Linked DNA regions of Alligator mississippiensis. The protein of the gene in region 1 purifies or fractionates together with the protein of each later gene. This does not show direct contact. Links are inferred from orthologs where the notes say so. Each region holds a gene or a part of one and is shown in the gene's direction. Other genes may lie near its edges. The genes, in order: SRPK2, SCAF1, C5H1orf35 and DDX46.

Region 1 (7,642 bases):
CCTAAATTAGCTACAATTGCTTAATACTTCCTACCTGCAGGTTTGTCATGGTGTTATCAAAAAAAAAAATCAAGCTAAGAATTGTCCCCTCTCATTTGTTTACAAAGCTATATAAACCAGCAAGTGTGTAGCCAGGAAATCCGGCCCCCCAAAAATAATTTCAAACGAACAATAAACAAACAGACTCTTTTTCAGTGTATGTGCACAAATATATCAAACTGTTAAGAAACATGGAATGGATATGGGAAATAAAGAGAAAGGAAGAAAGCATTGAGGCGAGGAAGAGAGTGGTACTTGAATGCTACAAAGAACTCTGCTATCTTTAGCAAATTCTCCTTTTCTGTATTATTTTTCCTTTTCACAACCCCTGTATTCTCTTTTCCTCCCCACTGCGTTCTTTGTTGTTAGTTCCATTCTGTGCAAGAGCAGCAGCATGTTGGTGAAATTGGCTAACATCCTGATTTTTGGGAACATGTGGTTCATAGAGCATAATATTGCCCACTGAGAAAAGCAGTACAGAGATAAACAGGAACATAAATTAGAACTGCAGGCCAAAGTCTTCAAGGATCCCTTTGCTCAAGAAGTGGTTTCTATTATCCTCAGAAAAGAAGCAGACATCACCATATTTACAAGACCACTGCTAGATTTGTTTTTTTTTTTCCTTAAAAATGCATCCCAATTTCCATAAGAGTAGCTGAAACCTCCTATGTAAGGAACATATTTCTAGGTCAAGTGAAAAGGAAACAACTAAGACTTTTTTGAGGTCAGGTCTAAACTGCACTGTAGAGCATAATAATAAACAGGTAAAATGTCAGCTCACAGCTTGTATGTTTCTCCTTTCCATTCCCATTTGCGTTCACAGCCACGCAAAATGAAAGAATAACTCTTGCCTTCTATTGTCCCTACTAATTGGGCAAGTCAAACCACCTGAGCCTAGAAACTTGGTCCCTACAGCAAATGAACTCCTTGATAATCCAGCAAAACCAGACACCTCTGTTGCAGATACTCTGTTCAAGGAAAGGCAGCCAGTGAAGGGGAAAGTAATCCTGTTATATCCCATTGTTGCAAATTTACTTTATCTATTTGTTACAAATACTTCATTCCAGTCTGTGCATCCTTTTGAGCGCAGTATTTAATTTAAAAACATTCTTTTAAGGTAACAAAATAGGATGGAAGGAAAAGGAAGCATATATACACTTGCACTGAAGTAGCAAAATAAGTTAATTAAAACATACATGTAATTATTTCTGTACACATTTGTGTTCAGGCTAGCCCTATAAGTAATTTTTAATACCATTTTACCTTGTCTGAAATTTAATCTAATATTTTTGGCCTCCTTTCTCTGTCATTTCCAAATGTAGGCCCTAATCCTAGCAAACACTTTATAACTACTTTATGTGAGCAGTCCCTTTGATACAGCTGAACTACTTCCATAAGTATCATTTTACACATGCTTAAGCATTTGCAAAACTAGGGCCCTCGTCATCATCTCAACATCCTTTGTGTTTAGATTGTACAGCTATTATATTTACCTACTAATTTAGATAAGTGCACATAAGAATCCTTTGTGCATGTGTAAAGACTTTCCCATTTATTTTATTATCTTTCTGTGTGAGCATATTACACAGATCTTTTGAGTAGCCTCTTCAGAAAATAGAAAGACAGAACAGGAAAAATGCAGTCCATTTCCTTGGAACAGGAATAAATTGATTGTATAATAAACACCCACCTAATCCTAAGAAATAATTCCTTCTCTGTGCAATACCAGATACTTCTCTCATGCTGCTTATATTGCTGACATTATACCCTTGAGGGAAATTCCTTCCTGACTCCAGATTTGGCAATCACTTTATCACTCTGTTCATATGAGTAAAGCCCTTTGTAGCTGCACATCTAAGACCCAATTGTCCCATACCCAACCCCACTGAAATAAATGGGAGTGCTCATGAACAGCTGAAAGTATGATTGGGCCCCCTGATCTATGACTGAAATATCCTACAATCACCCCTGAAAGGACTTCCCTGACCTTTCTAAGCCTGATTAGAGGGGCCAGGCCTCCTTTGCATATAATATGTATATCTGTTAGTCACCCAGCCGCTTTGTAAGCTTGAAACAATTGTGTTAAACTTTGGTAATTACAGTACTTTCTAACTGCAGTGTCCTCAAGCATTAAAAGCATGTGTGTTATTCTCTTCAGAATGATTAAATTTAAAGCAATAATAAATACATTAGTGGTTCTTTTTCTTTGCCTTTTGGTATTGGAGTCTTAGCAATTTGATGTTATTCACTGCAACCATGAGGTGTGCAGAAGTATATTGAAATAGACTTTTAAAATTAAACCTGAAATCCTAATTGAATGAATCCAGAGGCTTTAAGAAAAACAACAAAGACGACTTAAAATCAATATCCAGGAGTTAACAACATGGCATCAATCTACATCTAGAGGCTTCTCACTACTATTTAGTATTGTATAAACATTCACCAAGAAATGTGGGGAGAAACCTTGCTTTACTGACACTGAGGAGTGTCAGGGGGGAATGTTCGAATAAGTGTCCAAAAAGTGTGGAAACTTTTCAGAAGAAAGAAAAAGAGGGTCACAGGAGGGACTCCTTTAGATTTTACTAATATTGGCAAAATGTTAGTAAACACAGGTGACATTATTGAGGGCAGCTCGTCTGTTTGTTAGCAGGCACCTGGTTGTTGTCCATTACCAGAAGCTTTTTGAGCTATACTGCATGAGGTATTTCAGGAATGAGGCAGAACTCCAAAAGGGGACCCTAAACGGATATACAAGGAAGAGTACTGGAGCACCGAGAATTTAAAACTGGAAGTTTTAAATACTCTAAGTGCTCAGTGTTTGACTTCTTATAACAAACATGTGCCATTTTTAAGACTATATTATGCACCACATCCATAATCTCCCACCCTCATGCACTTGTAGTGTCTGAACATTGAGCCTTCTGGGTTGCAGCACCGTGTTCAAGCACTTGACCTACTGAACCAATGAACACTGGCTGACAACACCTTCCTATCATCTTGTGTGCCTAATGCTTCCTCAGCCTGACAAAGCGTATTTGTACCTGAAAGCTTGCAAAGAAGAATTTTGTCAACTATTTGAGTTGGTCTAATAAAAGATATTGGATTTACCCAAAGAACCTCACCTGCCCGAAGATGCCTAATGCACTGGTGCAGTAGATCACCTATACTCAAGCAGTAGAACTGACTGAAAAGCTTATTATGCTCCTGGAGAATGCTGAGTTTTGGGTTTTTCTCTTTCGCTGAATGTTTATATTCAGAAATGCCGCGGTGGTGCCTCATGGGAGTTGTGGGCTAAGAAGCCCGTGTGCCCTTTCTTCTCTACAGCAGCAGTTCTCAACCTTTTTTGTACCAGGACGAGGGTGGCCACGAGGTACCTCAAAAATAGATGTCCCCACTACCACAAACGTGGTGCGCCTCCCGAGGCTGGAGGGCACAGTGAGGTCCCGCAGGCAGCGGTGTTGGCGGTGGGGGTAGTGGCGAGTGGTGAGCTCCTGCAGGCAGTGGTAGCGGTGTCTGCAGTGGGGTCAGGCCAAGAAGGGAGCTCCCGTAGGTGGTCACCGTGGTGTTGGCAGCAGGGAGGGGGTGGTGTTGAGTGATGAAAAATAGAGAACGTAAAGGCACTTGGTTTTCCTATCAACGGAGGACCAGAAAACCAGACTCTCCTGTATAAAACTGGACAAATGGCCACCCTAACCAGGACCCATTTGTAAAGGTTGATGGCCAGTCCCAACCCAGTGCCCCTCAGTGTGTGGGCATGTGGGGTAGGGAGGGCAAGTGCACAGGGGTCCCAGGCAGCCCCTTGCAGGTGGGAACTGTGCCAGCCTGGGAGAGAAAACCCACGGGTCCCCCGCCTTTCTCATAGATTGAATAGACATTAGGGCTGGAAGGGACCTCGGAAGATCATGGAGTCCAGCCCCCCCCCCCCGGGACAGGAAGTCAGCTGGGGCCATAGGATCCCATTAAGATAAATGTCCAAATGTCTCTTGAAGGCATTCAAAGTAGGTGCTTGAACCACCCCTGGCGGCAGGCTAGTCCAGGCGTTGGGGGCTCGGACAGGAAGGAAATTCTTCCTTGTGTCGGGCCTGAAATGGTCTTGCAGGAGTTTATAACCCTTCGACCTTGTCACCCCTTCCTTGGGGTGAACAGATCCAGATCCCGGCGAGCACCCCGATAAACTTTTCCTCCTTTAAAAGAGAATCCACTTTTACAGCGTGTGGATCCGTTTCCAAAAACTTTGCTTGCCCCCCTTTCCTAGATGTTGGGCCCAGGGGTTGAGAAAGGCTGCTTCAGGGTGGGCTCCCCGATCCGAGCAGAAACAGCGGGGCACCACGTGCGCAGCGCTCGTCCTGCCCGCCCGGGCCGGGGGACGCCCGGGGAAGGCGCCGGCTGGAGGCTCCCGGGGGCTCGGCCTCCCGCCCGGCGCGGCACTCCCACGCGCGAGGTCCCCAGCGATGCGAGCAGGACCCGCGCCCCCACCTCCACCCCCGCCGCGCTCCCAGGCCGGGGGCAGGAGGCGCCAGCGCAGCCCCCGCCCCGCCCCGGTGCCGGCTGCCGCGCCTGCGCAGCGCTCGCGGGGCTGCTGTCCGTGCCCGGCGCTCCCACCGCCTGCTCCTCCGCCTCCAGCCTCGGCTCCGGCTCCGCTCGTGCGCCGGGCCTGGCCCAGCGGCGCAGAGCGATGAGCTCCCGCAAAGGTACCGTGGGGCCGGTCGTGGGGCAGGGGCCGGGGCAGGGGCAGGGGCCGGGGCCGCTCCCCCTCCCCCCCCGCACTAACCCGCCCGTGTCTCCCCAGTGTTGGCGCTGCAGGCCCGGAGGCGGCGGCCCAAGCAGCCCGTGGCGGCGGCGCGGAGGGACAAGCAGCCGGCGCAGCACAAGAAGTGAGTGCGGGGCCGCGGGGTGTCCCGCCGCGCTCGGGCGCCGGGGGTCGCTCCGGCCTGGGAAAGTTTCCTTGAGGAGCGGGGCCCGCGGCCCGGGCTCCTCCCACAGCGCCCTCAGGGCTCGGGGCCCCGCGCACCTCGGCAGGGGAAGGGGAAGGGGCTTGGGGGAGACAAGTGCCCAGCGCCCCTCAGGCGAGTGAGTGCTGGCCCCTTGCCCCGCGGAGTTGGCACTTCCAGAGCCGGCGCCCAGCTTTTGGTTGCCTCAGGAAACGGTGGCAGCAAGGTGTCGGGTGCCTGGGCCACAGAAGACCCCCCCCCCTTTCTTTTTTTTTTTGGCCTGCTGGCTCCTCGGTTTCTTCTGCTTTCTCTCCTCCTCGTCTGTCTGACTGTCCCAAACGCTCAGATCTTTGCGCGGGAGTCTGAGATGTGTCGCTCTTCTGAATGATATAAGGAATGATCTGTGGCCAAAATTTAATTGACATTGGTATTCGATTGGATTAGAAAGAAAATCAGCCTTAACAAAACAAAACAAAACAAAGGTTTAGGTTCCCCTGCTTTGTTTTGAAGCCAGACACTGCTGTCTCATGCTGCTCTTGAGCGACAAAGAAAAACGTGAGAGGAACAGAACAAAATCATGAAAAGTCAGGGTTGTTTTTAGCTTTTAATCCTCCAAGGTTGGTATTCAGAGTAGACACCTGCTTGTTTGCTTCTGACTCTAATGTTATCATTTGAACTTTATTTCTGCTGGGGTACTATCCTTCAGTCACGGCAGGAAGGGTCAGCACAGCAACCAACATCCACTGCTCCCATTAACAGTCTGCTTCAAGGGAATTGCATGATTGCCTGGTAGAATTCTTTGCATTGTAACTTATTGGCAGACTGGTTGCATCGCTTATTAAGGTAGTCGCACAAACTGAACAAAGCAAGAACTTTTACCTCCACGTTTTTTTTTTTTGTTTAGTTTTCATCATCTCAATAGTTAATGTAAGGGTGTGAAGGGCGCTTAGTGCTTGCCAGATGTAGATCCTTTCAGTTGATAATGAGAGCTAGCAGAAAAGATCTCCTAAGATTTTGTGGTGTGGAGAAGTAGAATGTAAGTGATTGGTCTAGGGAGGAAGGAAGGGGAAGAAGTAAGAAGGTAAGCGATTGTTGTAAGGAGGGGTCCATGTTATGACTTCGATCATGATGAAGTCTGTGAAATCCTACAAAGGTTGGTGGTTGAGCCTCAGTTGCAGAGATGGCTAGAAAAGCATTATGTAGTGCTACTATTGGCAAGTTATGCCAGATATTTGGTTCTGAGAAAAATACATGGATTTACCATGTGATGTATACAAGTTGCTTTTTATCAGCCCTAGTCTGTTAGGCAAAGGATTAATCAAAGCTGTTAAGACAGTTGCACACAGAAGTTGTACCAGTTAAACTGCAGGTCTACCCTTTGAAAAGTAGTATGGGAAATGAACAGATCTCTGCACACAGGCTGTGTTCAGAGACATACTTGCTTTGTAGTAAACATGCTGGTTTGCTATTCTTTCCTTGGTATTCCAGAGCACAGCCCTGGAAAAGGTAGCTCACTTACTTTTGGCTCTTGTCTACATGCAGACTTGAACTTTAGAGTTAATGCAGAAGCCAGGAGAAAAACATATTTTTTTTTTTTTGTTTTTTTGCCTCCTCCCCCGTGCCTTTCCTCGTCCCCTCAATCAAATTTGCTTGCAGATGTGGTTTTTTGTTGTTTGCTGTTTGTTGTTTTTGTTTTTTACAGCATGTAACATATTGGAGCTCAACTGATTGAAGTGTTTGTGCAATACTACAATGCAAGGGAAGGCTGATCATGCTGTTATTTTCTTGCGGTGGTGAGGAATACAATTGCCAGGGAAAATAAAGTACCTATATTTCCCTCCTGTGCATGGGTGGAAATGATACAGCTTTTCTTGTGACAAAAAATATCCAGACAATTAATATATTCTTGGGCTTATCTATATTGTATAACTTGATTTTATGTATACACGTACCTAGAAAATGGTATGTTGCTGCCATTTGTCAGTATTGTCACTTTTGTTATCCTACAGTGAGCAAACCTGTCTGGGCCACCTAGTGTCATTTTTGTGTATTTACTCAGAATATGGTGTCAACATGAGACAGTGGGTCCTATGAGTAAAATTGATAAATAGTTGTCTTCTGAGTTGTGGTGCTTTGGATAAGCCTTCATCATTTTGTCTTCATTGCCAGCCTGAAAGACCATACAGTTCTGCAATGTATTAAGCTCAAACATTTTAAAAACTTGGATATCTAAAATTAGCTAATCAGGGTAACTTCATGCCCCTACTTTGAAAAATTAGGCTTCCCCATTAGGCTCCCCCATATCAGTCTAAAAACTGATCTAGCCTGTTGTTGATTTCCCTTCCTCTCCCCTTCCTTTTTCTTATTGGGTATGTGTAATGGTCTTCATACATACATAGATTATATTTTACAGAAAGTAATTATATTTCAGTTTTAATATATGTAATTTGTAGCTTCTGATATGTTTGAATATCTGAGACACCTCTTCATCTAATGTTTATATTTTTAATGTGTTGATGAATAAAGCCGATGCCAAAAGTTTTTGTGGAATCCATTCAATGTACAGTAAATCTTATACTGTAAAGAAATGAATGTGTCTGTTAAAGTACTGTATATGTTGGTTCCTCTGTTAACTGAGACTTGCAAAAATCTCATGCTGGGAAAGCATCTGG
Region 2 (6,939 bases), on another chromosome or scaffold:
CGGTAACGTGGGATGGTGCCGCCCAGCACCACACAGCCACTGGGGTGGCCCCAGGTCAGACTCCCAGCTCAGCCCCTGCCCTCCTTCCCAAGCCCAGGGTGAAACCCAGGTGTCCTGGCAACCCACCAGACCCCACGGCCAGAGCTATGGATAAGACCCAGGTACTCTAGCTCCCAGTGACCCCTGCTCCAATCCATTGGATCCCCACTGCCCTCCAAGAGCTGTGATAGAACCCAGACATCCTGGCTCTCAGTCCCCTGCTCTGGACTGGTAGGAGCCAGCACACAGCCCCATAGCAGGGGCAAGGCAGGCCCACCCACCCAGCACTCACTGTCCAGCCGGGTGGGGATGCCATCAATGTTGCAGATCTTAGTGTATGAGTCCTCGATGGTAGGGTCATAGTCAGAGACAAAGTAGGACTGTGGGGGGCAGGGGGAAGGGAAGAGGCAACGGTGTTACTTCCACAGAGAACCCAGGAGACCAGCTCCCTGTTGCCTTCCCTTCCCTACCCTACCCCAGCCCAACCCAACCCACTACTAGATCATGCTGACATGCTTCCTTCCCCAAGCTAGGGAAAGAACCCAGGAGTCCAGGAGCCCAGCAGCCCAGCCCCACCTCCCCACCCCCTCCTTCCCTACCCCAACACATAGATCATGCTCCCTCCACAAGCTAGGGAAAGGACCCAGAAGCCCAGTCCCTCCACCTTCCCTACCTCAACACTACTAGATCGCACTCCCCACCCCAAGCTATAAGGAAAGAACCCAGGCGTCCTTCTCCCTGGCAGGCCCCTCCCTTGGAGCCTCTTGTGAACAGGATGTTCGGTCAAAGTGTATGTAGATACAGCAACAGTTCACCACCCCCTACACTCACCTCCCCCCAGCCCTCCCACGCCTGCCCCCCCTCCCCACTGCGGGTGGCATGGGGTGGGGCTGCCTCTGCCCAGGTCCCAAATTCCAGCCTCCCCCTGCCCTTGGGTGGGGGAAATTTCTCCAGCTGGCGTGGAAGGAGTGGGTGTGGGCCCCCCTCAATCTGGGACTGCCCCTCCAGAGAACCCCACACTGGGCTCCTCTTTCTTTCAACCCAAGCCAGAGCTCCCTCCCCCAAATCAGCTGAGCCCCCCCACAACCTATTGCCCCTCCCCAGGCCAGGCCCCCTTGACTCCACCCCCCAACACAGACCTGTACCCCCTCTCCCTCTTCATTAGGCCAGGACCCCCATTTCCACCCTTCCTTCTATGCCCCACAACCAGCCACCCTATCTCCCCCTCCTCCAAATCCTCTTAGCCCCCCCCACCCATAAGCCTACCCCCACTCTCTTACCCTCTCCAAACCCCTCTCCCTGCCCCCCCCCCCCAACTCCAGCCTACAGCACAAAACTTTCCCCAGGGTGGAAACTTTGGGCACCTTGGGAGATGGAGGGGGCAGACAGATCCAGGGTGAACCCCAGCTTCTCTCCCCCACCCCTGCCTTCACCCCCCTCTGTGCCCACCTACCTGGATGAACTGGATGGTGAGTGCGCTCTTGCCCACACCACCCCCTCCCACCACCACCAGCTTGTACTTCTCCTGAGGCATCGCCGGGTCCTTGGGATTCATGGCTTGCGGGGGGGGGGGGGGGGGGAACTCCTGGGTGTGGGGGGAGGCAGTGGCTTGGCTTGGCTTGGGGACCCCCCCACCTACCCCAGCACAGGCCCTACTGTGCCATGGAGGTGTTGCCCTTAGAATATGGCTCCCTCCCCCCACACACACACCACCACCACCACCACCCTGCTCCCCCCTCTCTCTCCAGCCACCCCACCCCAACCCAAGCCCGGCCCGGGACCCCGCCTTATATGCTAATCTATGCTAATGAAACCGTGCAGAAGCTGGAGCCTGGAGCGATTCACAAAAATCCACTTCCCTATATGGCGCTTGGGGCGAGATGGGGGTGGGGGCGGCACCCGCGGGGTCCCGTTGGACCCCGATCGCTTCTCATACGGGGGGAACCCCCTGCACCCCAAAAAGGGGATAGATGCAGCGAGACTCCTAGGAGCCGGGACGCCTGGGTTCTCTACCAGCCCCGAGCTGGGGAGTGGGGTCTTGGAGCCGGGACGCCTGGGTTCTCTGCCAGCCCTGGGGTGGGGAGTGGGGTCTTGGGGGTTAGATCTGGTGGTGGGGGTTGGAGCCAAGATGCCTGGGTTCTCTTCCAAATCTTCCCGAGCAGAAGGACAGCGAGGGTTTCGAACCGGGACACCTGGGTCCGTCCGTCGGCTCCCCCCCACAATTCCGGGACGGGTGGCGGCAGATCTGCTGGGCTTGCGTGGGGAGCCGGGACTCCTGGGTTTAGCCCCATATCTGGTAGCGGAGTGGAGTCCAGTGGGTGGGAGCTGGTGCGGGCGGTGGATGTTTGGAGCCAGGACTCCTGCGTTCTCTCCCCGGCTCTGCGAGGCGACTGGGGTCCCGGACTCCTGGGTTCCCCCTGGGGTTTGGGGCTGCGGTGGGATGTCCATATCACTTCTGAATCCCCCCACCCCCCAATCCAGATCCCGTCTGCTGACGCTATGGTCGGGCGCTAGGACCCCGCGGCTGCCGCGCCGGCAGGGCGGGGAAGGGGGGGCGCTATGACCTCAGTGCATTCCTTTCATGTGTGGTGTAGAGGAAGTTGACTCACTACCCCTCCCCCCCTCGGCACCGCCCCCTCCAGCCTGGGGGGGAGGGGCTGCTTGCATGGGGGTGGGGGTAGCCAAACAGTGCCCTCCCTTAGCCCCCCCCCCCCCCCCCCGGGTGTGCTGGATCTAACCCTAAGTGGGGAACCGGACCCAGGAGTCCTGGCTTCTTATTCCCACCCAAGCCGCAGCTGGGGAGGGAACCCAGGTGTCCTGGCTTCTACCACCCCCCATCCTGTCCTAGGGGGCTCCCAAAGAAAGTAGGGCACAGCTGCCTGGAGTTCATGGGGGCATTTAGGAAATGGCTCAGGGTGCCCTGGAAGGAAGTTCTGAGTGAGGGGATAGGTGGGGGTTGGGGGATGAAGGGGGCTGAGACTGGGTGGGATTGAAGCTTGGGAGTGAGAGGGGAAGGTTGGGGGGGGGGAATCTGGGGAGCCGGTAGGGGCAGTTGGTTTTCAGGGGGTCAGCATTTAGGGGGAATGGGTCACCCTCCCTGGGAGTGGCATGTTCCAATGCTGGAAAGCAGGAGGAAATGCTGTGGGGTGCAGGGGCCCAGGGCTGTGCCATGGTGCTGGGGGCAAGATGTTGCTGCACCCCTGGCCTTGCTCTCCATCTCTCTGATTCCCTTCTGGACCTCTCCTCAGGTACTGATTCCCTTCCCTAGGCCAGAGGAAGGAAACACTTCCACCTACCCCAACCATGTGCTACGGGGCCAGGACTGACCCCTTCTCCCCTTTTCCTTGGCCCAATGCCCCCAACTGCTGTCTGTTTCCCTCTCTCTTCCAATCTGTTTTGCTGGGGGTGCCCGCCTGATCACAACCCATAGGAGCCCCTGGTGCCTGGGGGGTGGGGGCTGGAATGGAGGTGCGGGTGGATGGGGGCACAGCACTGCTCTGGCCCAGGCTCTGGCCTGCCTGACGCTTCTCGGGGCGGGGGTGTTGAGCGACTGCGGCACAGTACCCACGTGCCCCAACTCCAGGGGCAGAAGCTGCTATAGAGCCGGCTACACCACCAGCCAAAGGGATGGGGATTGAGGGGGGCGGGGGAATTGTGGGTGATGGAGGTGATGGTAACGACGCAACTGAGTGACTATAACGTCCTGGGGAGGGACCATGTAGGCGGGAAGGACTGGTGGTGTCAGAGCGTGGCATGACATAGCAGGGTGATATGGGCACGGAGCGGTGCTATGGAAAACATTGCCCTCAGAGTGAGGCTGACAGCCTGATAACCTCATTCAGGGAGGGTGACGCCACAGATCAACTATGATGACATTATCGCGGGGGGTCAAAACGGGCGGGTGCCGAAGAATTCCTTGTCACCCCTCCGCCACAGCCGCCAGAACTACATCTCCCGCAAGCCGCGTCCACCCGCAAGGCATTGTGGGATAGGAATGTGAAGGGGCTTACTTCTGTCTCCCGGCGCCGGCCCTCAACCTGTCCCCTGGTGCCTGGCGCGCGGCCGTGGTGCACGCTGGAATACGCAGTCCGGACGCCCCCGGTTCCCTCCTTGCAACGCGCGCCACCGCGCTTCCTTCTGGGAAGCCTAGTCCGCCGCCGCCGGGCCCCTGAGTCACTGCTGGTACCAGGCGGACTGCATCTCCCAGCATGCCTCGCGTCGCGCCCGGTCCTGCCCGCCCGCCCGCTGCGGGGCAGGCTGGGAGCTGTAGTCCGAGGCCCGGCCCGGCCCGGCCCGGCGCCAAGGGATGGGCGGGGAGCGACACTACCGCTCCCGTCGGCCCCCGCGGCGCCCCCGCCAAGCCCCGCCTCCGCCGCCGCGGCCGAGCCCGAGCCCGAGCCCGAGCAGGGCGATCGGGTAAGATGGCGGCGGGGGCGGCCGGGTTGGGACGGCGGCTTCCTTTGTATTAGGAGGGCAGGAGGGGCCCGTGCGGACGCCCCCGAGGGGGGGCCGCGCAGCAGGTAACGACGGGGGCGGAGCCAAGTGGGGGGAGGGGGCTGGAGAGGGGAGCGGGGGGGGGGAGAAGCTGGGGACCAGAAGGGGGAGGAGCCAAGGGGTGGGGGCGGGGCCAAGTGGGGGGAGGGTCCAGTTGGGGGGTGGGGGGCAGTGCGGCCATCATGGTGGGGAGGGGGCAGCTTGAGGAGCAGGGGAAAGCTGGGGAGTGAGGGGCAGTGAGGGGTGTTATGTGGAGGGGAGGGGTAAGTTGGGGGTAGAGGGAGTGGCATTGTGGAGTTGCTGGGGGAGGGGGTCACAGACACCTTGTGGGGGCTGGGGGAATATTGGGCAGTGAAGGGGGGCTGGGGAGGGCAATGAAAGACGGCGGGGGGGACAGGATCAGTGTGACTGAGGTGCAGTGTGGGGGGCTGCCTGGGGCAAGGGACAGCAGATCAGGCATGGGGGCTGGGCCGGGATGCAGAAAGGAGGATGCATGCAGAAAGAGGCTGATATCAGGCTCACTCTCCAAGACATGGGGTCCCCCTGACCCTACCAGGTTCACAGGACCCGGCTGGGCACAGAGGCCCTGGGAACTCCTGCATGGCCATCCTCTTGCCTGCTGAGAGTCTCACAGCTCTGGAGGGTGGGTATTGCCTCCTCTGGTGCCCCCCACCAGCTCTATCTCACTAGCCCCTGGCTGGTGGCCTAACAGCAAAAGATGTGGGACAGGAAGGGATTAATTGCTGCACTCTTTCAGGGGTTGGCTGGCCCTGGCTGGGCCTCAGGGGCAACAGTGGTTGGGGGCATTGGGGGGTGGCAGGGCTGAGCTGACAGGGGCCTGTGGGTTGGGAGTGAAGGACACTGGCAGGGGGCTGCAAGTTGGGAGAGGGTCACTCACAGGGAACTTGTCAGATGTAACCTGTGTATCTGAGGGACTGGTTGTCCCCGATAATCACTTTCAGCACTGGAAGACTGGGACAGCCAGGACACCTGGGTTCTCACCTGACTCTGGGAGCGGAGTGTAGGGGTGCTGCCAGGCTGTGGGGAAGGGGTCGTGCTAAGAGCCAGGACTCCTTGGTAGAGTGAACACAGTGGTTTGGTCACTGATGACCTTGTGTGTGCCAGTGCTGGCACTGACTCTTCTCCCTGTTCTGCAGGCTCCACTCCATACTGCCGCCATGGAAGAGGAAGAGAATTCCCCTCCCCCCACACGAGAGGACCCAACCGGGGGCAATGAGGAGCAGGGGCACCCTGCTAGTGCCCCCTCGGACAGGGAGCTAAGCCAGCCAGGCCCCCTCTGCCCTGGCCAGGTCATAATGGTAAGGTCCTTGTTGCCTGTTGGCTGCTGGGAGCTGAACTGGGGGGGAAGTCCTGACTGATCTAAGCATCCGTTGCTCCTTTACATTTCCTTGGGTCTGATCTCCTGGGTTTGCTCCTGAGCAGTGCTGTGGGGAAAGCCAAAGTCCCCTTTGAGGACCTGCCAGCACTAGTTTCATCTAAGTGCCTTCCTCTCTCTGCAGAAGGCCATACAGCAAGTGGTGAGCTCCAGCTTCCAGGGCAAATGGCAGGACCGGGCCAGTAAGAAAGGTATCTTCTGGGACCTCACTGCAGGGCTGGTAAAGGATAGGATCAAGAGGAGGGGGAGACTGGTTGTGCTACTGCCTTGGGTAGGAGGCGAGCAGAGCCCTTTAAATCCAGCCCTGCCTACACCCTCCCCCTCAACATTAGGCGGCCCTGAGGGGACATGGAGTAGCCCAGTGCCAAGGTGACACCAATCTTTCTTGCAGATCTTAAGAGGAAGAGGCTGAGCCGAAAGAAACGGTGCCGGAGCCCCCGAATGGAGGGGCCCAGCGCAACCAGGGGGGGTAGCATGGATCCCACGGTGAGTGGGCTTGCTTCCAGGCACTTGGTAGCCCTGCCCCCTTAGCCTGGGGGTTGCACTATGGGGATAAAGCATCCCATCTCACTTGGAGTCTGGGGTGGGGGGTAGCTGTAGGGCCATGAGGGGGTGATGGGAGAGGAGGGGGTTGCACAGAGGCTGGGTGTTGTGAGGGAAGTGCTGGGGGAATATTGAGGGGAGCAATGTAAGAAGTGTGGGGAGGGTGGGGGTGAATGTGGGGAGGAGGAAGGGGATAAGGATGGGGTGTGATGCGGGGGGAAGGGGAAGATGAGTTTTGAGACTACGTATCCCAGCATGCCCTGCTCCTTCCCAGTGGATCATATGAGTTTGGGTTATATGTCCTAGCATGCCCTGCTTTCCTGTGTAGGGATCTGTTCCCATCAGGACTAGCTGTCCCAGAATCCCCTGTTCTCTCTCACCAGAGTGAGCTATCCGTGGGGCCTTGATATGCCTTGGTCTGTCATTCAGAGGCCTGGGAGAGCCACGGGAGATCCGTGCCCAGTTCT
Region 3 (7,646 bases), on another chromosome or scaffold:
GTCTGCCCCTGGCTCCCTGCGGTGTGACACAGGGCAGTTCAGGGCACTTGGGGCTGCGGGAAGTGTCTGCCGTGGCTCCCCTCGCCTGCTGCAGTAATGCCCCGGGGGCTTGGCACAGGCAGGCAGGAACCCCATGACTTAGGGCTTCCCGAATGAGGCCGGCAAAAAGCCATCACGGTCCTACGGCCTTGTGTGCAGGAGCACCCCTGAGCCTGTCCTACAGATGTGATGTGGCAGGTTTGGGGCAAGGTCTCTGCCAGCTGCGGAGGCGTTTGCCTCTCGCATCCTGGGGCTGGCGCCGTGCAAACCTGAACGGCTGGAAGATGACCGCGTGCCAGACACGGGACATGTGCAACTGTGGTCTCGCACTTCAGAGGGGTTTGGCCAGGGATGAACATGACCCGGGATCATCTCGCGCCCCACAGCTGTGATGAGATGCTGATCATGGGCTCAGACCCACAGCAGTTTTCTCCTGACGGAGGACAGGAGGCTTCAGGCAGCTGCCTGCATTTCCCTGCTATCCAGAGCTTTGTACCCATCCTTGGCCTATGAGAGGAGTTGGGAGCTACTGGTTGGTTGCCACTGAGAAGTGTTGCCACACAACGGCCACTAGAAATAGCGCCTGCTAGTAGCCACGTGCCAGTGCCCTGGTTCTGCATTGCTCTGAGGGGCTGTTGCTGTTACGTGGAGGGTCCTCTGAGCACGCAGTACTGTCCAGGGTATGTTTCCAGGGGCAATGTTGCTGCTAAGAGGTGCTGCTCACATCAGGTGTCACTGCCAGTATGCTGGATGCTTGCTTGCACTGTCCTGTCTGCCCCTCTGCACCCTGGGTCTCTGTTTTAGTTGATTTTTACCCCATTGCTAGCTGAAAAATCAGGGAAGGCAGAGCACAAATTGGCCTGCCCTGAGATGAACGCTCCTGCTTCTGCCATTCTTCAGGGAGAGAGGTGAGTCTGACCACTCAGAGCAATCCCTTTCTCCAGCTTGTCATCTTGCAGTGCTTTCTAGAAGGCTAAAGGAAATGTTAACTCAGAGACGCACCGGGGGTGGGTGGGTTTTGTTTCGTCCTTTTTTAAGTTTTAAGTGATCCAAGTGAAGAATTAAGGAAATATCGCTTGGCTTAAGCCATCTCCTTTTGGTCTCTTTGGTCATCAGGTTATCGTCAACAAGGAGAGCGCGTCCCAAGAGGTAGTGTAGAAATCCCATCACTGCCCTGAGGAACTTCATGGAGTAGAGTCGAAGAGAGATCTGACTGGGTTTTGCAGGCACGTGCCTCATCCATTTGCGCCCCTTCTTTTCTGCAGTCATTGCCAGGACCAGCATGGCAGCAGTAAGCAGGAGCCTGAGGTAAGCTTTGCACTCGCATCTGGCAGGTTGGCTGATTTGAGGACTCATCTTGCATGATCTCTGAACAGAGATGCTGGCCCCCAGCTGCTTGCAGAAGGCATTTGGCACTTCAGAAGATCAAGCCACAAATTGTGCTTGTGTTTATTGTTAGGACAGGGTCCGTAGGAGCATTCACTTGAGTTGCACATTGAAACCAAGTCTCTTGTATTAGGAGATAACCTGATTGTCAAGGTGGTTAAGGAAAAAATCCCCCTCAGGACCAGGTTTGTGGTTCAAGTGCCATTCCTTGGGACTTCAGGTTTTCTCCCTCTCTAGCATACGACAGACTATTCTTACGTGGTGCTTGAGGGCAGGCCCATGAGCTCTTTCTCCTGAAGGAGTGTAGGGAAGATCATCAACCCTGCCCTGTTTGAATTCCTTTAATAGCTTGTTACGGCGAGATCTGATCCAGCGGCCGCTCCCCACGATCTGCAGTCTGCACGCAACCCCCAGCCAGCACAACTCCAACAGGACTGCCATTGCTAGCTTACGGAGACAGACCTACGGCAGGGTCTACCCAGTTCTCCTGATCAGGCCTGATGGATCGACCGTTCACATTCGCTATAAGGAGCCGAGGTGGATTCTGACGGTAAGGCTGAGCCAGAGCTCTTTCTTCTGTAGAGCTGTTGGAGAAAGAAAGTTGCCCAAACAGCAACTAGTTGGATAGGTGGAAGCTTTCGCTAATGCAGGGGTGGGCAATTATTTGGGTCTGTGGGCCACATAAAGAGTTTTGATGAGCTGTCGCAGGTTGGGTCATCAGACCCACCCCCTCCGCCCCTGCACAACAACTTACCAAAACTCCCTATGTGGGATGGGGCTGTGGGCAGGGAGTGAGATGGGCGATCTGCTGGGGGGGCATGTACAGGGTGGGGGAAGCTGCATGGGTGCTAGGTCCTGGGAGCTGGAAGGGGGTGAGCAGGGGATGTATGCAGCAGAGCTTGCCCGGGCGGTGCAGTCCATAGCTACTACTCTCCGACTCTGCATGGGGCTGAGCCTACACAGGCAGCCTGTGCTGTGCTGTGCTCCCACCTGCACCCACCATCCTGGCCCTGGCCAGCAGGCACAGCTTAGTAGCAGGACTTCTTCTAGTGTGGCAGCTCCCTTCACCTCCAGTGGCAACACCTCTCCCTGCTGTACTGTTCCCAGCAGGGGAGAAGCTGCAACCAGGCAGCTCCTGCCCCAGCATGCGGGGCTTTGGCTCCCAGCTGCCTTCCACCAGGTCCACTGCAGCGAGAGCAGGAGGAGCCGCTGCTGGAGGTGATGGCTTCCAGGCATCAGGAGCAGTCCTCCTGGAAGCTGTGTGCACTGCCTGGGGTTGGCGGGTGCAGGCAGAAGTGCATTGCTGGCTGCCCTGCACCAGGCTTGGCTCCATGTGGAGTACCACAGGGGCAGCCACAGGCTGGATCCAATCAATTGGGGGTCACCCCTCACAGGCTGGATCCAATCAGCTGGTGGGCCAGATCTGGCTCACGAGCTGTATTTTGCCCACGCCTGCACTAATGCCTCCTTAAATCCCTTGGGTAACAGATGAATGCAGAGTGACTTGTGCATCCTTCTCAAACCAACAAGCCCGCTTCGGGCAGTGAGATCCAACTTGCAGCGTTCTAGAAAACTGCGTGGCCATTGATTTTTTTGGAGCAAAATCTCTTGATCACATCTTGCCTTTCTCCTTTCGGACACGACAGAGTCCTTGGAGCTCTGTTCTAGATCGACCTGCTTCTCTTTGTTCTGTTGTTGATTAATTTTTTTTTCTATCCCCCCTCCCCCTTTCCTTCTCAGATGCCTGTAGACCTCAACACTCTTCCTGAGGCTGAAAGAAGAGCCCGGTTAAGGAAACGTGATCGCAACAAGCTCCAAGTCACGCAGGAGAGACTGCTTGAGGATGACTTTAATATGGATCGTTACAAGCAATTCTGGAAGAAAAAATGAGGGCTTGTTCGGAGGATCTGCGAGGAGGTCTGAGGATTTGGGACTGTGCCGAAGGAGACTAACACAATCTTCTAGGGTGGTGGTTTTTACATGAGTAAAGATCCTTTACCCCGTAACTGCTTGTGCTCCTATTGTGTGTGTGTGTGTGTGTGCGTGTGTGTTTGAAAGGTACCACCCTGGAGACTGAAGGTCTCTGTTTATCTGCTGATCGGCTGGATGGGCAATGACAAAAAACCACAATACGTTAAGGAATGACGGGAAAGTTCATTCTCCCTGAAGCATTCAGTCTTTGGTTTTTCTGCTGAGCTAACCAAAAAAGGTGCCAGCTGGTGCCCCTGTACTGGTGGCTTTGTGGGTTGAGGAATCAATTAACTAGGACCTGGGCTGAAGCATCCCAACTGCCCTCAGAGTCTGTAAAATCGTACTAGCCCTGTTTTTGAGACTGACCTTGCTGCCTATGGATCATTTAAAAAGGTGAAAACTCTCTTAGTCTGCCACTCCCAGGATCAACCATGGCTGAGCGATAACCTTATCTTGTACTTAGGAGGTACTGGAAGCCATAGGGGTGGTTTGAAATGGGTGTTTGGGATGCACTGCTCTGTATGAGGGCAGGATGTTCCAGGGCTGCTTGGAGCCTTTCATCTCGGGAGATTTCAAAGCCACAGCGAAACGGGGAAATGGTTTTCCCTACTGCTAAATATAGCAGCCTCTAGGGAAAACGTGATGCCAGCGGGTGAGCAGGAGCAGGGCTAGGAGCTGCAGCTGCAAGTTCCCACTAGCAGGCGGGTGAGCCAGGACGGGCTTCTATGTGTGGCAGTGCAAGAGATCCTGGGATACTGGAGGACTTCAACTTGAGCCACCCCTTAACGGGACAGGAGCTGGGTTGTGCGGATCAGAAAGCATCCTGCTGGGAGTGGCGTAACTTTAAGCCGCATAAGGAGGCTCCAGGGTGTTACCGTGTGGACAACCCAGGGCTTAAGAGCTCCAGGAGCCGCCCACGTTTCCCAGGCAACAAGCCCTTACTTGGTGCACGAGCGCAGCTTCTAGGTCACAGAGGAGACGAGCACGCTGCGCCTGCTCCCCGCCGCCAGGGAAAGGGTTAAATCCCCCGAGACAATGGCACGTCCGGGCGGCCGCATTCTCCGAAGGGCGGGGGGGGGCGCGCTCTGTGCCCAGCCAATGGCAGGCGGGCGCCGCGCTTCTTTCCGGGTTGCTCCATTCTATCCCCCCCGCAGGCGGAGCGCCGTGGTATGCTCCGAACCAGCCGGAAGCCGCTTGCAACATTGGTGCAGGCGTTCGGAGCACGTGGGGGCGGGGCGGTCCGGGGGCTGCGGCTGCGGGCAGCGCCTTGCGGGTAGGCAGGGGAGTGGGGCTGGGCTGGGCGGGGGGAGCTGTCTCTATCGCGCGTGTGTTTGCTCTGATTCCCCCCCCGGGCCCGGCAGGAAAGCCCCCAGCAGCTGATCACCCTCCTGGGTTGTTCCCCCTTCCAGCAGGGATGCAGGGCAATGATCCTGCAGGGGGTGGGAGGGAAGTGGAGCTTGGCCCTTGTCTCTCTGTAGTGCCCTGATCTGCTGGGGAGCTCTGGGGCTGGGGGGAGCAGCGTGCTGGTGTGTGCACGGTGCTGCTGTGTAAAAACGCGCGAGGGGGATCCAAGTTGGCACTTCGGGGCATGAGCCCGTTGCCCCAGGGCGCAGGGAGAGGTTGCCTTTCTCATGTGCACCCACAAAAAGCCCCGCAGGGCACTGGGGGGTGGGGTAGCTTGCCCCTCCCGAAGCTGGAGCCGGGTAGTGGAAGGATGCGGTGTTCGGAGGACCACGAGTTGGGTGTGCTGCGTGACCTCTGTGTCCTGCGACACGCGGCGTCTCGTGTCGTGGCGGTGGAAGGCCTGGGATGTCTCACTTGAGCACTTCTGCAGGGCTGGGGTGAGGCTGGCTGGCCTCAGAGGGCTGGGTTCAGCTCAGGGGGAGACTTTCCTGCCAGAGTGAGCCCGGGGCCAGGCCCCTTGTTGCAGAAAGCTCTCCCTAGAAATCTTTGCTCGCAGCGGCCAACTTCAGCCACTTCGGCGTATGGAGGGAGGGGAGCGGGCAGGGGAAGAACACGCTCATTTACTCCTCCTGGTACCTGACCCAGGCACGGACCAGTCGCTGAAATGCTCTGGTGTAGGAGCAGGCAGCCCCCGTGCAAGGTGCAGGGAGTGTGGCTTGTTATCTGGGGTGGCTTTTTTTTCCTAGGGAAACTAGCCTTTTGCTCCTCACAGAGGATGCTGAGGCTGGGCTGGGGCTTGTAATCCTCCTGCTTGTCTTCTAGATGCAGTGCCTTGGGTTGAGCATCTGGGCACCTGGCGGTGATCTCTGATTCGCCCATCGCTGCTGGCCGTTCCCGCCATGTTCGGCTCATCCCGCGGAGGTGTGAGGGGGGGACAGGACCAGTTCAACTGGGAGGATGTGAAGACGGATAAGCAGCGGGAGAACTATCTGGGTAAGGGGAGATCCCATGATTATTTACAGCCCTTGGGGGAATCCAGCGCTCTGTCACAGCCTGACCAGCAGCCCTGGCGGCTGGTGAGTATCCGCAAGACCCCCAAGTCTCGGCCACCTTGGGACCGCTGTTCTGGCTGCATTTGCAGGCTTCGCTGCCTTGCTGGGGTGTTTCTTCGTGGTGTTCACGTTGGCTGAAAAGGGTTCTGCTCTTTGCCTCACCTTGCAAGCACTTGGTGCTTTGAACAGGCCACTGCAGGTCTTTGAGGCTGGTGTGGGTCCGCTGCGATCGCCCAGTCTGCCCTACAAAACACAGGCCTGGGAACTCTACTCCAGGCCTTCCACGCTGAGCCTGGCCATCTGTGGTGGGCTTAAAGGGAAGAGCTGCTTTAGCAAGACTGTTTGGAGAATGTCCCATTTCCCTTAGGAAGCAAAGAGGTGTCTGAGCATCGGTGAGCAAAGCGAATCTGGCTTAGGCTGTCAATCACGCTGCTAAAACACTTCGGGGGCTGCAGCAGTACAAAGTTGCCATACAAATACTGCACAGATGGGCTCTCACATGTTGCCTGTTCATAAAATGCCACTCTTAGAAGCTTAGTGGCTTGTCCTGTTGCCAACACAACCTTTTTCTGCCATCTGTGAGGGCGCTCGTGTGTCACGTGGTTGCCACGCTCCACCCTAGATTTGGCTGCTTTTCAGTGCAGCGGCATATATAGAGTTACAAAGCCCTTTGTGGATCCTTAGTGGCGAACAATGCTATATAAACGTAAGTTATTCAGGTATTGTGTTGGGTTTCTATTACAGGGGAGGTTCCTGAGCCATCCCAGTGACCTGTTACTGGAAACTTCGAGGTTGGGATATATTGCTGAATAGATTTGCAGCTTCAGACAGGTGCCTCTGCAGGATGCCCTGGGCCTGGCTAAGGGCAGGAGCTGGGTGGTTCTTGTAGAGCTCTTTGCTCATGTGCCAGAGCGCTTCCCATGGGGGTCACAGCATCTACCCTCTTTGTGGAGAAGCTGAGGCGGAGAGATGAAGTGACTTAGCCAGGGTTATGTGGCAGGTCAGTGGTCTGAACCCAGGTCTCTGATCCCAGTGGATTGGTCCCCACGTGACCCGAGTCATGGATCTGACTCTGTTCTGCTGCCTGGGCAGGGACGTCTTTACAGGCCGGATGTTCTGGTTCTGCTGACGGCCTCTCTCGTTTTCTGCGGCAGGGAATTCCCTCATGGCTCCGGTGGGAAGGTGGCAGAAGGGGAAGGACCTCACATGGTATGCGAAGGGGAAGAAGGAGGGCGTGCAGATGTCCCGGGAAGAAGAGTTGGCTGCTGTCCGGCTGGCCGAACAGGAGGCCATGATGGCAGCACTGTAAGTTCAGGGGGGATGTATTGCACTGGTGACTTCCACACACTCAGAGCTGCGTTCTCCACTACGCGTTTCTGGTTGTGAATTGGTTGTCGCAGCCTGGGAAGTCGCCTCGACTTTCCGCCCCACCCTCCTCCGTGGGTGTTTAGTCTGTAGGGAGGGAAGGTGTCAGCCCTCGTTTGCCTTCCTGCTACTCATTGCCACATCTACCAGGCTTCTGCCTCGGGCAGTTCTCCCTAGATAAAGTGGGTCCAGCTCCCAGGCCGTTTATTTGATACCCCTGAATGAACTGATTCTAGCCTTTCTTTTTCTAGCTTTGGCTTATGCAGCAAACCAAAAATGTGCCCAAAGCTGCTATGCAAGTAAAATCTAATTGAAGAGAGAGCAAATGGTTTTTGTCCTATGAGAAAGTAGGCAAATAAGCGAAATGTGTGAATAACCAATATGCGATGAAGCAGAATCTGCTGGACAGGAGAGGGTTCGACGTGGATG
Region 4 (7,933 bases), on another chromosome or scaffold:
CAATAGGTATCACTCGCAGTATGAGACTTTGGCTCCCTTTTGTTTGAAGTGAAAGGCACTTAATACCCTAGCTTTTAATCTTGGAGGACCTGAATCCAAATGTTCTTAAAAGTCTTGGATGAAAATTAGTTTTGTGTCTGATTTTTGTGCTTACTTAATATTTAGCTATAGCCCAGTAGGAAGCATTTACTTGGGAAAGCTGGCTAGATTTTTCTTTGATTTGGTAGGATTTTGCCTTCCATTTACACTGTACTTCTGTGCAGTTGCTGTTTTTAGGCTCCATCCATAGGCACTGTTCATGTCATGTTTGACCAAACAGAATGTTTCCCTCTCAGTGAAATGGGTCCTTGACCTTTGCTGCCCTGAACTCAGTTTTAGAGAAGTTTGAAATGTGGCGATTTTTATTTATGCCTGTTACTTTCTGCTTCTCAACATGGCGGGATTATATCTCCTGCTTTATATTAATGGGATCGTATCACAAGTTAATTGTAAAGAAGCAACTGCTTGCTTGATGGTTTTGTCAGTCTGCTTTGTAAAGTCAGGCAGAATTAAGTACTTCACAGCCATAGTTGAAAGAGAATATTTACATGTTAAAAGGAATAGCCGAGTCAGTGTAGCAAGTAGGAATGAGTGAGAGTAGTAAATATGTAAGTAAAAACAGTGAACTTTCAAGTAATTATTCTTTAGTGGTCTGCACAAGTTACCAGACAGCGTACCAGGGTACTGGCCTCAGATCACCTGCACTAGGTTGTCTGCTAGCTAGAGCTTTTCTCTTAGTTTCTGTGTTTCTCAAAATCAGTTATTCAACCTTTATATTTCAGAGGTGAGTCTCTGAATTGAAAGCAAATGGTAGTTACCTGTATACTCTATGTTCCAATGGGACTTTAAACCTCAGGCTGGCCTGCCTGTGTCTGGGCTAGTCGAAAGTAAAGCTTCCGTAGGGAGTCTTGAGAGGAGATGGCTGAATTCCTTTTCTTCCGTTAAAAATTCTCTAATTTTTAATGTGGAGTGCCCTGACTTTGTTTGTTTACTCAGGTTATTCTGTTACTAGTATCCATTTCATTATTTTGTTAAAATTCATTGATGATTATGACTGTCTTAACATTCATAAATGATTTACCTTTTCATATAATGCGTAGTTGTGGTACTAAACTGTTCTAATTCAGATCACTTTGAAATGTCACATAGGTGAACACTGCAGTCATAAAAATGTGTTTTAAATGCAATGGGATATCAATTCAAAGGTATAGGTCCCTTGACATAACTAAAACCATGGTCCATAACAAAATGAATAGCCCATTCTATGGCACAAAAACAGCCTACACAAAGCATCCCTACCTGGCCTTCCACAAAAGTGTGTGCATGCATATATGTCCAGAAGTTATCTATATATTTTAAAGCTATACTGGCAAAAATACAGTTCTTTACAGAAGAAACCAGTGTGGATGTGAGATGGTTTGCAACATGTCTATCCTGGCCTAACTGCACTGGTGAACCTTTTGTAGACAGCTGATTAAGAGACCATCAGAACATGAATTCACACACATTTGTCAGCGATTCACACGATGATGTTAACTTCAAATGTTGACTTGTCACTCATAGTAGGAGGGAGCCCCCAGAGAAACTCATTGGATTTAAAATGTATTTAGAAGTTATGACTCTTCATACACTCAGTAATCACTACTCTTTTGTTTTGTTCTTTTTTTTTCAGTGCGAGAAGAAAGTGAAAACTACGGTATTAACTGCTGCTCTTTTATTGTCGGGGATCCCAGCAGAAGTGATTAGTCGCTCCATGGACACCTATAGCAAAATGGGAGATGTCTTCACAGATCTTTGTGTCTACTTCTTTACTTTTATTTTCTGCCATGAACTGCTGGTGTTTTTTGGTTCTGATGCACCGTGAGGGCTTGTAGACCTCAAAGTAGCAGTTACACACATTTTTTGCATTCTGTATTCCTGTAACATCTGTGGATATGCAAACTGGTTTAGACCTTTAATTTAATTCTTGTCTGTTGGAATGCTTGACAGGCATCTTAAAGTCGCTCATTTGTGAATGGATAAACAGGGTTTCAGGGTGGGAGTGGTCTTAGTACAGTGTATTCAGCTATTGTTTCTGCACATGGCAAATGTGAAGAATAGAGTGCAAGTGTCAGTGATTGATTTCCTTTACTTGTTTAACTAGAAGACATCCTTCTTCCTCCACCCCTGACATCACTTGAATTGCTGCTCCCTTTTGGCTCTGCAGTGTGAGAGCACAAATGTGCTTTCACGAAGCCCATATGTGTACACTTTGTGACTGGATACACGTAAGGACTGCTCTTCTGGTGTTGCTTCCATGTTTAAAAGAAATCCATGACTAATATAAAATGAATCCTTACGTTCCAGTGTTCAGACTCTGAATGCTGAATAAAAAAGCCTGTGGCTTTTGCAGTAGGGTTGGGCGACACATGCCTCTTCATTGTCCTGTGGCTTGGAGCCCTCATCCTCTCTTGGTGCCATAAATTATTTGTTGTGCCGGTGACGGACTTCAAGAGAGGATTCTAGAGTGAAATAAATCCTGTTGGCGTACAAATGCCATTAATTGTGAAGCAAGAAGGCACGTGTGCTGCTGGTCTCAAATGTTTCCATAAGCTCTTTAATTCTAGCCCTAATTTTACCCCGGCTTTCATGTACACCCTACTTGCGCTCTTCTTCTTTAGACAGTTCATTTTCTACAGTGAAAGCTGCACTCAGGCACCCCATTCTCTCAAGCAGTTACTTCAATAGGCATCAAATATAGCAGTTTTATTCAACTTTTAGTTAACAAGGGGATTTTTTTCTTCCTGGATCTTTGCAAGGGTGTTTAAAACAATTTTAACTGACATCTATATTCTGTTTCTTTCCCTCTGTTTATAGAAAAAGACATTTGCATGTAAACAGGGCCTTAATTGCTTAGGAGTTCTGCTCCTGCTGCTTAATAGTGCTGCTGCTCAATAGCCTAAATAGAACCCTTGGTTAGCATTCAGCAGAGCTATTTATATGTTAACTGACTTGCTAATTCCTCTCTTCTACATTTTGGTTTGAAGTCCCTCCAAATAAGCCACAATAGGCATGCTTATTCAAATCCTAAGTACTGAAACAGGCAAGGGAACAAGACTTCTTATCACCATGTTATTTTGAGTTGATTTCCATAAGAAGATCAATGTGTCCTGTGGAAGGAGGGGGTGGAAACTGACACCTTTTCTGGAGCAGATGTAGAAGCAGTGAGGGATGGGGGGGCTCCCACAGCAGATGCCTTCTGCTCTCTAGGGGAGAGAGGGTAGCACTGTCCCCAGTCCAGCAGAAATTTGGCCTTAGTGGGATGGTGTAAACTGGAACAGACTTTGAGGAGGGATCTCCATCAGCCAACCTTTCCCATTACCCATATTTGGATATTTGCTGCTACTGCATCTGAACCTGGTGTTACCCTTAACCTGTTGTCTTCTGTGTATTATTTATTTGAAGCATCCAGGTGAAGTAGACTGACACCAGATTTTCAATTGGGAGGGGATGCCTGGTTATGTTGCTAATGGTTTTGCCTCCTGTTTAATCTGGTTTTGTGTTTCTGAAGTAAACAAGACTCTGCTTTTCTGCTTAATTGTTTTCCCCTTTTAAAATATTCTGCAATATGACGTTGTTGCGCTCCTGAACCCACGATCAGACCTCTGCTCTATGTCTGAAGCAAGAAACTTGTGTTCTAAATTATGGAAGATTGCTTTGTACTGCGGTTACTTTTTGCGTCAACATCTCAGTGTAGATGTTTAAGGATAGATTGGGGGGGGGAATGACAACCTGATTTAGGTCCACTGGCAGGAATGGTTGGGACACAATTTCAGCAGATGCTGACAGCTGAGATTTTAGCTACGGTTGAAATGTGAAGATTATTCTCAGAAATGAGACACAACTTTCAGGATTATTTATCCGAATTAGCAAGTGTTGCAGGTAGCACTAGGGAGGGTGCAGAAAAAGCACTGGTTATTAATATTACATCACCTTTTAAAGGGCCCCCCCTTCTTTACTAAGCTTAAAAAAGCATTTTGATTTATACTTGTGTTTATTTTGGCGTTCTGCCCTGCTCTTTTTGCATTCCTTTAACTGTGAAATGGCTGAGCAGATCCTTTCCCAAGCGGCCTGAAATACAATAGGCCGACAAGGGTCTTTGGGTGAATATAAAAGATGTATTCACCCAAGGGACCTTGTCTGCCGATGTCCGGAGACCGACGCGACTCCAGCCGCCACCCCTGAAATATAAGGTGGAGCTTTTGAGCGGAAAGGATACGTTGTCGGGACAGGAGCAGGTAGCACCAGGGGTTGCCTGTGTCCTCGGCTCTCAAGACTTGAACGAAGCCCTCGGACTTCACGCGCGATCCAGAAACGGATCTCCTTCGTCCCACCTTCGATTTGCACCCCCGCCGCCCCTCCCCCTTTGCTCGCGCACATAAATGTATCGGACGTTTATTTCTACAGCGGTTGTTTTCTATTAAATTTATTAAAACGGCATTTGTTACTCTCAGTCAAGGTTTGATTTGCTCGGGGGTGGGGGTGGGGGAGGGATGCGCTCGCTCCTTTGTTTCACGTCTGTTTTGAGGGGGCTCCTGGGGGACCGTCCGCCCGCAGACCCCGGCCCCGCCAGCAGCCCGCTGCGAAGCGGGGGCGGGTCGCGTGTCCCGGGGGGGCGGGGCGGGGCGGGGCCGGGCCCGCACGCACAGCTGGCTGCAGGTGGGGGGGAGAAGCCCGCTGTCCCTGCGCTGCCGGCCTCCGGCCGCCAGGGGGCGCGCGCGGCGCAGGCCTGTCCGGGCCCCGCGCGCCGCCCCTCTGCCCGCCGCGCGGAATGGCGGCCGCCTAGAGCCCGCGCACCCGATCCCGGGCCAACGCCGCCGCCGCCGCCATGGGCCGCGAGTCCAGGTGAGGCGGCTCCTCCCGCCGGGGCCTTGCCGCCCGCTCCCCCCCCTCTCCGGGCTCAGCCCCCGCGCCGCTGCGAGACCCACTTCTCCGGCCGGGGCAGGCCGCTGTCGGCCCACAGGGGCCGGGCCCGGATCTGAGGGGAAACGACCTGCCCGGGGCGGGGGGGGGGTCATTCTCGGAAATGTTTTAAGGACACGGCGGTTGGGCACGGTCCCGCGCGGAGCCGAGGTGTGACCTCGTGAGGGCCCCGCCGCCGCCGTCCCTGCCACTGAGCCAGGAGGTGACATCCCTGAGCGGGGCCGGGTCCTCCTCCTCCTCCTCGGGCTGGCTGCGGGTCCGCCGCTTCTTTCCCCTCTTTTAAACGACACTTCCTGAGCAGCCATGGATCTTCGTGTGGGTGCTGCCCTGCAAGGCTGGCGCACCTCGCTGCTCTCGCTCCATCCGGCCTCTTGAAATACCGCTTTGCAGCCGTGAGCCGCGACAAGCCTGCGTGTGGGTGCGAGGCAGGCGCGCGGGTGGGGAAGCCGGGCTTTCCAAGGTCGCACACCTTGGAGGGGAATTCATTTTGTATACCCCTGGCGACCGGAGCGCTAATCCTTCTTTCCTGGCAAAAATGTAAGCAGCTACATGCTGTCTAAATCCATTTGATTTCAGTGCTTTACTGTTTGCTTTGAACTCCTGCCTAGTGTTACAGGCGATCCTCGGACACGACTGGTTCCTGAAAACCGTGTCTTAAGTCGAAATGTTGTGACTCGGAACTGATTTTTTTCCGATAGGAAACAATGTTATAAATGGAGGATTGGTTCCTGAACCAAGGATACCTTATTTTCATCAAAAATAACCCAAAATTTTGTATTCTGTCAATTATAGATGAGTAATATAGCTACATCAATGTAAATAGCAATCATATTGATTTGGAAGGACTTCTTTGAGGTGACTTTGCTGGACTGTCTGAAGGGCTCTTGGCTGGAGTCTCCTCCGGGGTCTTGGTGCAGGGTTTTGCTTTCTTAAAGAAAGTGTCCAAGGAAGTTTGGACAGATGTTCTCCAGGGAGATAGGTGACACCGCGAACTTGTTTGCTGGCTTGGCGTCGCGTCGAATCAAGCGTTGTAAGTTGAAACTGGGGTCAGAAAGTTGAAATAGGGTGTCAATTTATAAAGGTTGTAAGTGCGAAACGTTGTGACTCGAAACGTTGTAAGTTGAGGACTGACTGTACAGCGCTGTTTGCAGGTTAGCTATGTCTTCGCTTCAGTTGGTGCTCCAGTGCCTGAGATAACTTTAAGTAGCTAGCTAAGGGAGTGGTATTGGTCGAATACTCACCGCTGAATGGGGTGAGTATTCACCGCTTGCATGGTGAGACCGCTGCAGGTACACAAGTTAGGTTAGCTGCGTCTCTGCTACCCACAGTTGAAACAGTACAGACACCCCCGTGGGTATCTGCATTTCTGCAGTGGGTGCAGTGATTCCTACCTCTGCTCTTGTGTAAGATTATAAAAGTGCAAGCATTTTCAAGTCCTCGGATAAGAGATATTTGCCACGGACTGCTCTGCTATGCTCGTGCTTCTCTGTTAAGGTTTACACCTTGAAGCAGGCTCTGGTCTGAGTGATTGCTGTTTTATTACAGGGGTCCCAACCCAGATCTGGGCTGTGTTTTATGGAGAGACGGTCCGTATTTTGGAGCGTTTAGAATCTAAGCGGGCAAAACCTTGCAGGCGGAGACGGGTGAATTGACTCGCTCTAGGTCACAGCCTGTCAGTAACTGAGAAAAATACAGTCCAAGTCTGACTCCAGCCCTATGCTCTGCCCATCAAACCACAGATGCTCTTGCTAGCATATGATAGTTTTCATAGAGTTTGATAGCAGCTCTGTGGAACTAAGACTTAATGTATTTGGATAGAGGTATTTATATAAGCTGAGCAGGACTGCCCAAACCTTACAGATCATAGGGAAGTGGGGCTGGAAGGGACCTCCAGAGGTCATCTAGGCCAATCCCCTGCCTGAGGCAGGATCATCCCTATCCAAACTATCCTATACAAATCCATTGTCTAACGTCTTTACAAAACTACACAGTCAACTCTGACACAAGAGGCATGATTATGTGCAATTTTAATCTTTTATATACCAAAATGGATGGACCACCAGTAAATGCTTCTTGGAACTCTGCTGCAATTAGGAGCTGTGCTCTGTCAATGCCATCTCGTAAGAACTCTTTCAAGGGAATCCAGTCATTTCCATCACTTCAGAGGAGTACATGTGTTCATTAGTTCAGTTTTGCAGGGGCAGTAAAGCCTTTTTAAAAATTGGTTCTTTCCCTAGAGAGGACCCGGTTCTAAATGCAGCAGATGCCTCTAACTTGTTCTCCTGTGAATCTTGACTTGATTTTGTGCACTTACCACAACATAGGCACTATCGGAAGCGCTCTGCTTCACGGGGACGTTCTGGCAGCCGCTCCAGGAGTCGTTCTCCATCCGACAAAAGAGCAAAACGCGGAGAAGACAGACGTTCTAGAAGCAGAGATCGAGAACGTCGGCGTGAGAGGTCACGCAGCAGGGACAAGAGGAGATCAAGGTCACGGGAGAGGAAGCGCCCAAGGTACACGTTGCAGTACGTCTTAAGAAAGTGAATCAAAGTATCTGCCCTTCTGTGTGGGATGTTCTACCTGTGATGTTCCACTTGCTGTGGTTACTTGTCATGGGTGCCTCTGGCAGGTGTGAAATTAGGTAAAGCGTTGGCTAGTACGTGTCACACAGGTTAAGTTTATCACCCAGTGGAAAAGTATACTGTAGCTGGATTTTGTAACTCTGTTTCTGGCCTTCATGGTTCTTAGCTTCCTTTGGCAGGGCACTGACGAAAATGATTTTTCCTTCCCCCCACTTCTTAACAGGCCAACTTATGTCATGTTTTCCCCAACACAAGTTTGTTTTTATATTTAAAAAAAAAATGACAGCCATGTGTATGGAATGCTAAATAAAACACTTTTTTCTCCTGCGGCAGACGGTCCAGAAGCAGAG

Evidence for each region.
Region 2: the proteins of SRPK2 (region 1) and SCAF1 purify together in Homo sapiens (affinity purification with mass spectrometry; 3 studies listed by BioGRID and IntAct, with this or other methods). This does not show direct contact. The link is inferred for Alligator mississippiensis from reciprocal best matches to the Homo sapiens genes SRPK2 and SCAF1.
Region 3: the proteins of SRPK2 (region 1) and C5H1orf35 purify together in Homo sapiens (affinity purification with mass spectrometry; 3 studies listed by BioGRID and IntAct, with this or other methods). This does not show direct contact. The link is inferred for Alligator mississippiensis from reciprocal best matches to the Homo sapiens genes SRPK2 and C1orf35.
Region 4: the proteins of SRPK2 (region 1) and DDX46 purify together in Homo sapiens (affinity purification with mass spectrometry; 4 studies listed by BioGRID and IntAct, with this or other methods). This does not show direct contact. The link is inferred for Alligator mississippiensis from reciprocal best matches to the Homo sapiens genes SRPK2 and DDX46.

Annotation. Positions count from the first base shown.
Region 1 is NC_081827.1:26,456,789-26,464,430, reverse strand, and holds the start of SRPK2 (SRSF protein kinase 2), read left to right. Parts: upstream 1-4,601; 5' UTR 4,602-4,714; coding exon 4,715-4,730; intron 4,731-4,826; exon of another isoform or gene 4,827-4,828; coding exon 4,829-4,913; intron 4,914-7,642. UniProt on the Homo sapiens protein: Serine/arginine-rich protein-specific kinase which specifically phosphorylates its substrates at serine residues located in regions rich in arginine/serine dipeptides, known as RS domains and is involved in the phosphorylation of SR splicing factors and the regulation of splicing.
Region 2 is NC_081828.1:40,051,150-40,058,088, reverse strand, and holds the start of SCAF1 (splicing factor, arginine/serine-rich 19), read left to right. Parts: upstream 1-3,915; 5' UTR 3,916-4,455; intron 4,456-5,690; 5' UTR 5,691-5,711; coding exon 5,712-5,852; intron 5,853-6,053; coding exon 6,054-6,120; intron 6,121-6,320; coding exon 6,321-6,415; intron 6,416-6,939. Other genes in the region: RRAS (ras-related protein R-Ras), read right to left, coding at 332-419, 2,224-2,487.
Region 3 is NC_081828.1:214,164,770-214,172,415, forward strand, and holds the start of C5H1orf35 (multiple myeloma tumor-associated protein 2), read left to right. Parts: upstream 1-4,560; 5' UTR 4,561-4,669; intron 4,670-5,622; 5' UTR 5,623-5,699; coding exon 5,700-5,793; intron 5,794-7,006; coding exon 7,007-7,157; intron 7,158-7,646. Other genes in the region: MRPL55 (large ribosomal subunit protein mL55), read left to right, coding at 1,322-1,347, 1,774-1,975, 3,166-3,315.
Region 4 is NC_081832.1:70,515,169-70,523,101, forward strand, and holds the start of DDX46 (probable ATP-dependent RNA helicase DDX46), read left to right. Parts: upstream 1-4,812; 5' UTR 4,813-4,906; coding exon 4,907-4,923; intron 4,924-7,325; coding exon 7,326-7,514; intron 7,515-7,916; coding exon 7,917-7,933. Other genes in the region: guided entry of tail-anchored proteins factor CAMLG, read left to right, coding at 1,712-1,903. UniProt on the Homo sapiens protein: Component of the 17S U2 SnRNP complex of the spliceosome, a large ribonucleoprotein complex that removes introns from transcribed pre-mRNAs.